Xenopus tropicalis: one gene and its partners. The protein of the gene in region 2 interacts with the protein of the main gene of each other region in a pairwise test. Links are inferred from orthologs where the notes say so. Each region holds a gene or a part of one and is shown on either strand. Other genes may lie near its edges.

Region 1 (3,754 bases), on a different chromosome or scaffold from region 2:
TGGCTAAGAAATTGCTGTTGTCTGGATGGTAACTATGAAAGCATTATTCACACCTGCCCTTTTGTGCTGCACATCGCATGTCTAGAGCTGCAAGCTGGAACTGGAACGCAAGAACACATAATGGAAGACAAAAGCAACACATTAAGCTAAATTAGGCCCTGGCACAAAAATTGGAAGCTAATGGTGCCTAACAATGTATAGTATATATAAATATCATAAAGAAATGCAGTGTGTATGTACAGGGAGTATTGCATAGGAAATATACAGTGTAGAGGTTATAAAAGGTGAATATTTAAAATGCTTGTAAGGGCGGTACAGACAAATAATGAATATACTTATTAAGGAGGATGTGGGCTGAATTAAGTAGTCACCAAGCCAACTGCCCCTGGGGATGCCCAGAGCTAAGGCTCAACAGGTTGGAGCAGCAGGTTGCTTGGTAACAGAGCGGATGGGTTCCAGGCATTACAGAAAGGCATATCTATCATATATATATATATATATCTATATCTATATATACATATGCACCTACATCTGCTGGACAAGATAATGGTATTCAATGATGAACCTGCGACCCCCACAGCTACTGCTACAAATCCCACAACCTTCTTCTGACAATGAGGAGGTGTGAGTTGCATTATAATAGCAGCTGGAGGGGTAACTAAAAATGACACATTTTCTCAGAAAGGGCCCTATAGTCTGTGAGCCTTGTGCGAATGCCCTCCATGTCTTCTCTAAAACAGACCCTGCTCGGTGAGGCGGAACGCGCGTAGGAGCTGCCATCCACTGTAATGGAAATTAAAGCGATGAAATGGAAAGAAATGGGGACGTGGAGCAACAGAGCAGAAGCCAAACGGCGGCAGCAGCCAAGGAGACGGGCTAATAATGAATGTAGGAACACGCGGAGACAGTGGAGGACACGGAGCTTTGAGAAGAGACGTGAGGGGCGGGATATACTGTGACAGACAGCAGGGAGGGCGAATGGCACTCCGGGATAGGAGGGAAACCAGGCCAAGGAGCTTTGTACTTGAGGAAAGAATAACAACAGAGCGCAAGTCTTTCATAACAAGGAGGGAGGACTGCCGTCTGGCTGACAGGAGGGGCGGCCCAGGCTCCATGCGTCCCTGCACACACACCGTGCATTCCTGTCAGCGCACATACACGCACGGGTAACCTTGCTGGCACTGCGGCACTGGGATGTGAGGCCGGGCACCGCTCATGGAAAGTTTGTAGCCCTGCTGCTTGTGGGCAAACAAGCTGTGTGTATTGTGTGCGCTGTGGCGGCAGCCAGGCACCTGGGCGCTGGGAACAGGGGGGCGCCCTATGGATGTTGCGCTCAGCGGGGAGCGAAGGGGCATGTGACACGCGGAAGGACACCTCCAGGGCCGACCTGTGACAGGAATGTACAATGTGCCCGGATAGGTGACACCACGGGAGAGCATTGTGTACAAACAGCGGGGGGCTGGGGTTACTTGGCCCGTACACACCTGTACCTGCCGAAGAGCTGCTAAGCCTGCCGGATACAATGCCCCCTGCGCTTGGTGTCGGGTGTGTGCCCAGAGGGGAAGAAAGGGACGGCCAAGCTTGGTATTAGTCTGGCGCTGTATGAGCGGCTCATGTATGGGCAAGGTTGGCCAATAGTGTGCAACACACCCGGATCTGACTGGCACTTAACTCAGGACTAAGCGCCTTCGCTCAGCACAAGGACACTTGCCCCTCACCCCCCGGTGGATGCTGAACCAGCCGGGTGTGTGTCGGGGATGGGTGGGCGGCAGAGCAGCAGTCCGGCAGCGGACGGTCGAACAAGGGCTTATTCTGGATCGGATATCCCTACTAATACGGCCCGGGGGCCTTACAGGGGCCCTTCTGGTGTCGCCTCTTCCTCCTCGTCCCCTATAGCCAGATACTCCTATGTTTCAAGTGGGCAGGCGGCAGCGGGCAGTGCCGGGAGAGGGGCGAGCGGCACGGAGAGCACTCAGCCAGCAGCATTGGCTTCCAGGAGCCGCTCTGTGGGGGGGATACGGAGCCAAGCCCCGCTTAGTATTCCCGGGGCAGCCCGGGACTCTGGCAGCAGCACACCCGAGGAAGGATCCCGGGAAAGGGCACCTGGGGGGCGCGAATCTAGGTTAATGATTGGATCTTTACCTGCTCACCTCTCCCCACACCTCTTTGGCGGTGAGTATTCTGACATCATGTGAGTGACGTGAAAGCACTTGCCTTACGCTTGTCCTTCCATTCCGACTTGTGCTACATTAGTGGGGAGCTAGAATTAGACTTTCCCTAGTTGTTCTTGAGTTGTTCTCAGACAACCAAATGAGGATGCGAGAAAACTGCTGGCAACTTTAAGGGTGAAGACACACAGCGACAAGTAGCAGCTACTTGTCATGGCTCCAAAAATAGACAATGCTAAACATTTACTGATAACTGTCTCTGTTTTGTTTGGCAATTCTCTGTTTGACAATACTCAGTATTGTCTATGGCAGGGTATTTTCTGGCATTTAGTAGCTGTGACAATTAGCTGCTACTAAGGGCTCTGGCACACGGGGATATTAGTCGCCCGCGACAAAACTCCCTGTTCGCGGGCGACTAATATCCCCGAGTTGCCACGACCCGCCATCCCGCCGGCGAACATGTAAGTCACCGGCGGGATGAAAAAGACTCGCAAGGCTTTTTCGGCGATTTCGGGAAATCGCGCCGCCACGTGTGCCATCCCGCCGGCGACTTACATGTTCGCCGGTGGGATGGCGGGTCATGGCAACTTGGAGAGATTAGTCGCCCGTGACAAGGGAGATTTGTCACGGGCGACTAATCTCCCCGTGTGCCAGAGCCCTAAGTAGCTCTGTGTGTCTTCACCCTAATTCAGCAACAGCTGGGGTAGAAAGAAATGACCACTAAATGCTGTGATGGTAAAGGCTTAATACTGTGGTATTGCAAAAGTGTCAGGCGGTTTTGTTTATGTAATGTAGGAAGTGGCAGCAGTTAGTTGTATTGGTGCCAGTGGAATTTTTAATGGTACGAGGAAACCAGAGAAGCCCAGTAAATGGTTAAGCAGGCAGCAAAGTTAATGATTTCATATTTTACTGAAATTAGATCACAGCTCAAAAATTTGCTTATCGTATATGAGGCACTGAACATTTAAATACACTTTGTGTGGCTTATGAGATAAGTTCTTGTTTCTCTGAAAGGCCTGAGTACATGATGCACGGCATGGCTAAATCTGTCATAAGCACTGTTTCTTCCGCATCGTTCTCAATTCACTGTAACCACTAACAGAAGACACCGTTGCAGCCAAACAAAGATTGAGTGATTTAATGTCGTTTTCAATTGCATAAGCTGTAGCATGAACATAAAAATAGGAATAACTTAAATATTGATACCTTTTGACAGACCCTTTTTTGCATTCACACATTCAAGTCTTTAGGCTAATACTAGTGGTATAAGCTATTAATGCATTTTAATACTCATATTACCTCCTCTCTGTACAGCACAAAACCAATGTCAAACAAGCGTGTGGCTGTCATGTTTATGCTTTGTTATGTAGCTAAAAGCCTGAGTATTTATACACATAAAGCATCCGACATGTACAAGAGTAGTGTACATGTAGAAGGACTGTACAAGATTGTGTGATAGCTTACAATAATTCAGGCCCACTGGTATAGCATTGATTATTTGAGGAAGGAAGCCCTGTAACAAGCACTTGACCTTAAAGAGGTACTTTACCTTTAAGTTAATTTTTTAGTTTATCATAGAATGGTCA
Region 2 (3,754 bases):
TCCACCAATAAGTCACTTTATTGCCAGTGGGAAAGCATTTTAGGGAGTAGGCAGTTAACTTATCTATATGTTTTTGGTGTGTGAGATGGAACTGGACTAGCCAGAGCTACTCCAGACACAGAAAGAACATACCAACTCCTTGCATGCTCAAACTGGTTTTGAATACAGGATCCCAGCACTGCAAGGCAGTCCACTAAGCCACCATGAATTAAGCTTTTGTTGATGCTGGGGTTTCTGCAAAATGTGTAAACAATTTCTGATAGACTGGCTCTATACACTATTACCCCGACTTCTATTCAAGTAGAGTCTTATATTCTGTTACCAAAAGAATCAAAACATTTGCTACCTGCCTAACATTACATTCAGAGGGTGTTAATATGAAGTTGCTTTTTTTTCTGCTAATATAATAGTGAAGTCATATGGTTTTATTCAAGGTGTCCTACTTTCAGGCCTTATAGCATAGTCTGACTCCAGTTTCATTTCTTGTCTCGCCAGCTGTATGGGGTGGGGTGAAGCTGAAACCTCATCATGCTAACACGACTGTTCGTTTCTTACGTCTTGTTGGTTTTCAATGTCTTCTATGCTCGCTACAGGCAGTGCATAGAAGACATACTGAAACACTTAAGCATTGTTCCTTGGGCTAAAATGAACATTCTGACTACACACACCAACAAGCGTGATTACATCATTATACATGAGAGGAATAACGAGTCCCGTTACAACTACATCTCCCATGAGCCTGTGGGCTGTCGCAATGACGTCAGCGGAAGCGGATGCCGCGCTCTCACTTGTGCGTGACAGGGGGATCCGGTGGCACGCAGAGAGTTGGAGGCTGCACGCATTATAAGACAGGATGGCCGGGCTGCCTCGCAGGATAATCAAGGTAATTGGCGGCTTGTAGCTAGTGAAGTAGTAGCGATTGCTTTACGTTATGTCTTGGGCTTAGATCAGCGGCATTGATCCGAATGAATGGAGACAAGGCCCGGGAATGTCCCCGCCCTCCAGCCCGCTTCAACATGGCACCCGCCGGGTGGTACTGGGCCTGTAGTGATGTCTGATGGGGTTGAGGGTCCGGGGTCGCTATGTGTGCGCGCCTTGTATAGGAAACCACCCCAACGGGGATATGGGGACAACGTTATTTTTTGTGCTTGAAGTAAAACCTTGTGCCGACCACACCCACGCCATTTGCTTGTAGTCTGTTAGCGTTAAGGCTACATAAGGGTACAGATATGGGGGGGGGGGTATATAGGAATGAGTTACACTGTAGCACATAGGGTGACTCCCCCAGACACTGCATGCCATTACTAATACGTGTGCTTAGTGTTTAGGAGCTATATCGCATTTTACTGCATCAATTGACGGCAGAGGTGTCGGCAGTAGACCATTTTATATATAGGTAGGCTATTGATTAGTAAGGAGGGTATATTTCATCTTGGCTCACTATTTATTGCACCTCATTTAGTTAAATTGGGAGCCAAATAGTTCTGCTTGTCACTGTACCCCAATGTATTCTACATTTTTACATGGCTGTTGGTTGAGCCATGCTAAGGGGGATTTTACCCTTACTAAATACTAGCGCAGAGCTGCTTCTAGGTAAGTGTTACGTTTTTCTGGGGTATCCAGGTGACTTTGGAACAACTCACGAACCACTAATTAATTTAGGATCCTTTAAGCACCATATTATAATTCGTAATTACTGTTCTTCAGTGGCGTTTTCGGTCAGGTAAAGGTTATGGAGACCCAACCTAAGTAGCGTGGACGGGGATTCATTGTGGTTCCCCAACACCTAGATTAAGAATTCTTATTCTAGGTAAACTACTTAATGACACACAGAGCTACTAGTTGCAGCCACAAAGTACCAGAAAATACCCTTCTATAGATAATACTGAGAATTGTCTCTGCTGAAACACATATTGAGAATATTTACTGTTGTCTATTTTGTAGCCACAACAAGTAGCTCCATCTGTCAATGCTCTAAAGAGGCAACCAGGTTCCCTCTTTTGTGGTGTCTCTGCGTAATGTGCAGTCTCTCAGAAGACCTGTTCTTGTCCCAGCAGCTTGTGATAGGTTATATTTTGCCACAGGATTCACTATTAGCTTTTCAGAACTTCAGCCACAACATTTATTTGTGGAACGCATGGCATATACTTTATTCTGAAGTTGCATCATCCCTTTAAGTCAAATAAAGATACAGTTGAATGTCATATGATGTGAGGCACTGAAGGAAGCAGATATCTGTCCTTTAAATCTTCATGCTAAATGGTTGGGTAACTTAGGTTGATAGTATTGCCATTTACAGTGGTTGGGAAATTGGCCTATGAATATCAATATTGGACTAGGTACTGTGCTGAAGCCCAGATTTTACTTAAATTCTAATTAAATATTTTAAATGTTCATTTTTTGGGATGTCTGCCTCTGCTAAGCTCTATCTGCTTCACTTTTTTATGTGAATCAGTGACAACCATCTTCTATATTGTCAGCAGTGTTTCCACATTTCCTGTCTAAATTATATCATATATTATGCAAGATACTTTTAACCAGTATTTGAACCTTTTTTCCAACCTCACATGTATAATTAAATATTTTTGCTGGACTTCTTACATACATCTGATATACAAAGAAAACATTTCGCAAAATACACGGATGAAATGGAAGAAGTTTGTGGCTGGATGTGATGAGATTGAAAAATATAGCACACTCTTGCTTTCAATATAGTAGCTATTTAAGTGCATCGCTGTAACACATGCAGAAAAACTGGCATATAAACCATGCACCAAAGTGGTATATGTAGTTTAATTCAGCAGGAACAGATCACCAGCACTTCCTGTCATGATTCCAGCTTACACCACTTTAATTTCTAAAGCTAATTGCTGGCAACCTGTCAAAATGCTGCACTGAGTGCTGGGAGAGAGATGTTGGTGATGGTGTAGACAGCATCACTAAATAAAATCAAACGGTTAAAATCATTTGGCTTAAAAAGCCCTTAGATGTTTTGTTTTAATGCATATTATCATTTAATGCATATTTGTTGTAAAAGTTTTTGGTTTGTTTTGCTGTTGCAGTTAAAATGAAACCGTATTTTACATGTAAAATATTTATTTGAAGCTACACAGCAAATCTGAATCTCACTATGGCTTCCTTGGAGTATTTCTAACATACATAAGATAACATGCAGTGAAATAATGTGCCATCAATTGGGTGTTGACCCTTGGCAACAATATAGATATTGCCTGCATGCATTTTATTTTCCATTCAACGTTTATAAATTGTCTAATGCAATTATCATGATCTTCTGATATGTCTAACATAAGAAAGCTTCAGTTTTCTTATTAGCGAATCAAGTGGAAAGTCTGGTTTGATCTTGTCAAGGATCCATGTTTGTTCCTTGCTATCTGTGGTATTCTCAAAAGTTATTACTAACTCGAGTTCAAAGGCATCAGTACATTTACTGGCCTGCTTCTTTATTTTTCAGTTTTATTCACTATTACATACCATTTTTTCATGATATTTCTTGTCCTGATTTCTATTTCAGTTTATAGCTAGTTCACATGATTTTGCTCTTTTTTTTTTAGTTACCCTACCTGCCTACTGAAGATCTTTCCCACAACCATTCCTTATGGGAAAGATTAAGCCTTTTACTGTGTTGAATATTTATAGAACCTGTTGACAAAATGTAAATGCAGTTAGACCAAGTTGCAATTGTTTGATGTGTCAGAGTTGCATATTGATCATAATCCCTCCACTTTCCACTGAG
Region 3 (3,754 bases), on a different chromosome or scaffold from region 2:
GTGTGACAGTCTTTGCTTGCATAGTGAGACTTGTGACCAATCAAGTTAGCACTTACTGACACACAACATATAAACGCCAAACATAAGCAGCCTTAGAATCAGGGCCACCATCGGAACTCACAGGGCTCCTGACTGGACTCTCCCTGTGCCCACTGATTATGGCCCTGCTTAGATCATCTCTCTCTGGTGTCTTATCTGAACTACAGCTTGGCTCCTGGTTATCATAGGGAATGGTAGGAACTGTAGTTTAGCAATGACTAGAGGGATACAGGTATACGATTACTGAGGAAGATGAAAGTATTCTACGCGGAATATGAATTTTCTGTGTGCTGTTTGTACATTTTTGCACTTTAATAGTTTTCCTGTTTCTAAGGTCTCTCTCCTCCTAGAAACCAGGCAGTGGCTTAAATAGCCATAGTAAGACATAGTATCCCTGGCAGCCAGTTGCCAGTTGATATGGTGCTGTAATCCCATTGCTTGAGGCTGAGAATAGACTTGCACCCTATCAATCTGCTTTCTGATTCTCAGGGTCACTGTCCCCCAGGACTACACAGCATTGTCCAGTTTGTGGAAAAACACTTATAAACATAGAAAGAGGGCCGCTCTGGCATTCCTACATATCTATTATGATTTCCCTCAATGTGCCCCCATGTCTGTATCTGAGGCTGCTACTTGGCCTGTAAAGTTGGTATTTGATGCCAATGATCTTAATAGGGAAGAAAGGCAACATCTATAGGAAGGATGGATTTCCCCCCAACAGTATCAATACTAAAGCCTTTTTTATTAGTGGGGGGCTTGTGCACTCCCACTGGGCCCTCTGTTTTCCTGGGTCTTTTGAGGTGGCAGGGTCTGTTGCCCCTATTGCCCCCATGGCCTGTAATGTACAGCTTTAGGGTAATGGCACAGAAGAGGATATTTTGTTCCCCAAGCGATTTCCAGTTCAGTATGTGGCAAATAAAATGATCAAAATTATCCCCATTATTTTCTATGACAATCACCTGAACCCACAAAATTGCTGTCTGCCTGATTTTCATGCTACAGTCACATGGCCCCCTTGTCTAGGTAATTGCCATGGAAATGAATGGGGGTGATTCCAAGCATTTTTACCATTAGTCTGTACAGCCCGCTTTGTGTCTCCCACTGACCTCTTTGGTTTGTATGTCATTAATTATGTTAATATTTTCTTTTCAGCCCATCTACTACTAACTGTCCATTTTATTTTGAAACTGCATTATGGTTAAGGGGTAGTTAAGCTCTAGCAACCAGGCAGCAGCTGCAATTCTAAGTGTGAGAGTTTCTGATCAAATACATTTTTAAAATAATGGTTAATTGCATATTGTGTTGGAATGCTGCTGTCTCTGTGACATAAAAAGTTAAGTTTAAGCTGAACTGTTTGTTTGATCAGAATGGTATTGTTCTTTCTCCTTCCAGGTTGGATCTGGCTAAACTTTATATGGAAGATAAGGGCAAAGGATCACAGGTGCTTGATGGGAAAGCAAGAGCTTTTCATATTTTAATCCTGAGTGAGAAGGAGCCATGTGAGCAATTGTTTGATGCTTGGGCCGTGCAGCGCAGGAGGAGTTCAGTGCAACACCCCTAGCAGACTGTACCAACATGCCCCCTGCAGGTAAGTACAAGTACAAACACCCTGGCACCTCACTCATCAGGACTTGTGCAAAAATCTAATTGAAACATGTTTTATTAAACATTTCACTAACATAGGGTGACCTTCCTTTGTGCCCCTTTGGATTGTTACCATATGTGACTGAAACGCTGGTGTGACAATCCCACATTGGTGTGTGTTTAAGCGACGCTTTTGCTCACATGGGATGGTGGGAATTGTAGTTCATCAAGAGATGAGGCCATTTTACATGCTTCTAATTCCCATTTCCGTACTGTAGTTCTATTGACCATCCAGTCGCCAGTTAGGGTGAGATGTGGCGTAAGTGCTTATATGCTGCCCTTTAAATGTAAATATGAAGCCCATTCAGACTTTCCATATTGTACGGTTTGATTCCATACAATGAAAATGGATCTACATTGGATTTTTCCGTTTTAATTGACATCATATACTGAACAATTTAAAGGGACAAAGTATTTTTTATTTGCCTTCCTCTTCTACATTATTCCAGATTTAAAATGGGGGTCACTGACCCTGATAGCTAAAATACTATTGTTCTGTGAGCTTACAGTGTTATTATTATTATTATTTTTTATTACTTATCTATCTTTTCACAGGATTCTGGCACAGGATTCTGCCTGAAAATGCAGCAGCACATGTGCTGAATCCACATCCTGTGTGGCCAATTAGCAATTAATTTAGACTCATGCTGCAGACTAAACAGATTTTTGTTCAGTCATGCAGCATGCATCTAAAATAATAATGCTAACTAGCCATGCAGGATGTGGATTGTTAGAATTCATTGTTAGAAATACCCAAGGAAACAGGTTAAACCTAGCTAAGGGCGGGATGCATGGAGTGTTTCCTAATTATGTATGAATAATTTGCAATGTATTTTTCAGTTAGTTTGTATTTATTATATTATTACAAGTAAAGGAATGGGATTCATTATCTGGAAACCTGTTATTCAGAAAGCTCCAAATTACAGGAAGGCCATCTCCTGACTAATATAGTGAGTTGCTTCTACCCAGCATTCCCTGCGCTGTCCCACCTACAACATGCTTCCTGGGATTGCTGTTCTACCGACACAGAGTGAGCTGCACTATTGCGCTGCTACCGGCAGAGGGAGCCTTCTTCCTTGCTAAGCGAGCTTGTGAATGTGTGACTTCCCAACGTGCCAGGGAGTGGGAGTGAAGATGGATCGATCCTGGAAGTAACTGCACTGCCTGTTACTCTTCTATGTCACCCCCTCCCTCTCTATCAGAGATACACCATCTGAGAGTCTCTGCCGCTCTGTGCACTGGATCCTGTCCTCCTCTTGGCACAGACACAGGCAACTGGCAGCCTGCCCCTTAGTTGGCAGAGACTTGATCCCTTCCTGGATTTTGGAAATTGCAATGGATGTCTGGGCACCCTGGCACAGAGCACAGGATCCGTTCCTCTATGAGTGCGGCACCGTGGATCCCTTGCCCTGCTGTGTGTGATTATTGCACTGGATGTTGCTATTATTAGAGCCTGGCACAGGGCACTGATCCCATGCTGGCAGCTTTTGGGCTATGCACATGTACCCAGAGCCAGCTGTGTGCTGCTGCTGCCTGCCAGTCACTTTGCACCTCCTGCTTGCTGCACTGTGTTGTCTCCAGCCCATCAGCTCTGGGACAGGCATATGGGCACTAGCACTGGGCATGGGAGTGACAGCTCTGTGCTTGCTCCGACTCAGTAGCTCTGGATTTGGCCATTACCCTGTATAGCAGCTCTGATACCCCCCTGGGCAGCCAAGCCAGCACCTGTCTGCCTCTCTCATTGGACCCATCGCTGCTTCTCTGTGACTGACTGCGCCTTGCACCCTCTCTCCATAGAAGATGGGCAGCTGCTGGGAAAGTTACGGGTAATCCATGATGTGCATGTGTGTAACTGGGGAGGAGATAGACAGACAGCAGGGGCATGGGGTGGGGGGGGGGTTCTAGCCACATTACAGGAGGGTACATGCTTGACGTGGGTTAGTGCTGCTTGGGGCATCACATTGGCTCCGAGCCTGGGCATATTAATAAGGGCTATACACTTATAGGTCCATTTCTCTCAATGCAATGTCATGAGATCTGTCGGTATATTATCTGGCGTGCCTCCTTCTCT

The links.
Region 1: the proteins of ube2n (region 2) and znrf2 interact in a two-hybrid assay, tested with the Homo sapiens proteins (4 studies listed by BioGRID). The link is inferred for Xenopus tropicalis from reciprocal best matches to the Homo sapiens genes UBE2N and ZNRF2.
Region 3: the proteins of ube2n (region 2) and mid2 interact in a two-hybrid assay, tested with the Homo sapiens proteins (2 studies listed by BioGRID). The link is inferred for Xenopus tropicalis from reciprocal best matches to the Homo sapiens genes UBE2N and MID2.

Annotation. Positions count from the first base shown.
Region 1 is NC_030682.2:51,420,687-51,424,440, reverse strand, and holds the start of znrf2 (E3 ubiquitin-protein ligase ZNRF2), read left to right. Parts: upstream 1-1,053; 5' UTR 1,054-1,757; coding exon 1,758-2,172; intron 2,173-3,754. UniProt on the Homo sapiens protein: E3 ubiquitin-protein ligase that plays a role in the establishment and maintenance of neuronal transmission and plasticity. Ubiquitinates the Na(+)/K(+) ATPase alpha-1 subunit/ATP1A1 and thereby influences its endocytosis and/or degradation.
Region 2 is NC_030679.2:56,096,349-56,100,102, reverse strand, and holds the start of ube2n (ubiquitin-conjugating enzyme E2 N), read left to right. Parts: upstream 1-835; 5' UTR 836-853; coding exon 854-883; intron 884-3,754. UniProt on the Homo sapiens protein: The UBE2V1-UBE2N and UBE2V2-UBE2N heterodimers catalyze the synthesis of non-canonical 'Lys-63'-linked polyubiquitin chains. This type of polyubiquitination does not lead to protein degradation by the proteasome.
Region 3 is NC_030684.2:40,404,147-40,407,900, reverse strand, and holds the start of mid2 (probable E3 ubiquitin-protein ligase MID2), read left to right. Parts: upstream 1-1,294; 5' UTR 1,295-1,627; intron 1,628-2,595; exon of another isoform or gene 2,596-3,509; intron 3,510-3,754. UniProt on the Homo sapiens protein: E3 ubiquitin ligase that plays a role in microtubule stabilization. Mediates the 'Lys-48'-linked polyubiquitination of LRRK2 to drive its localization to microtubules and its proteasomal degradation in neurons.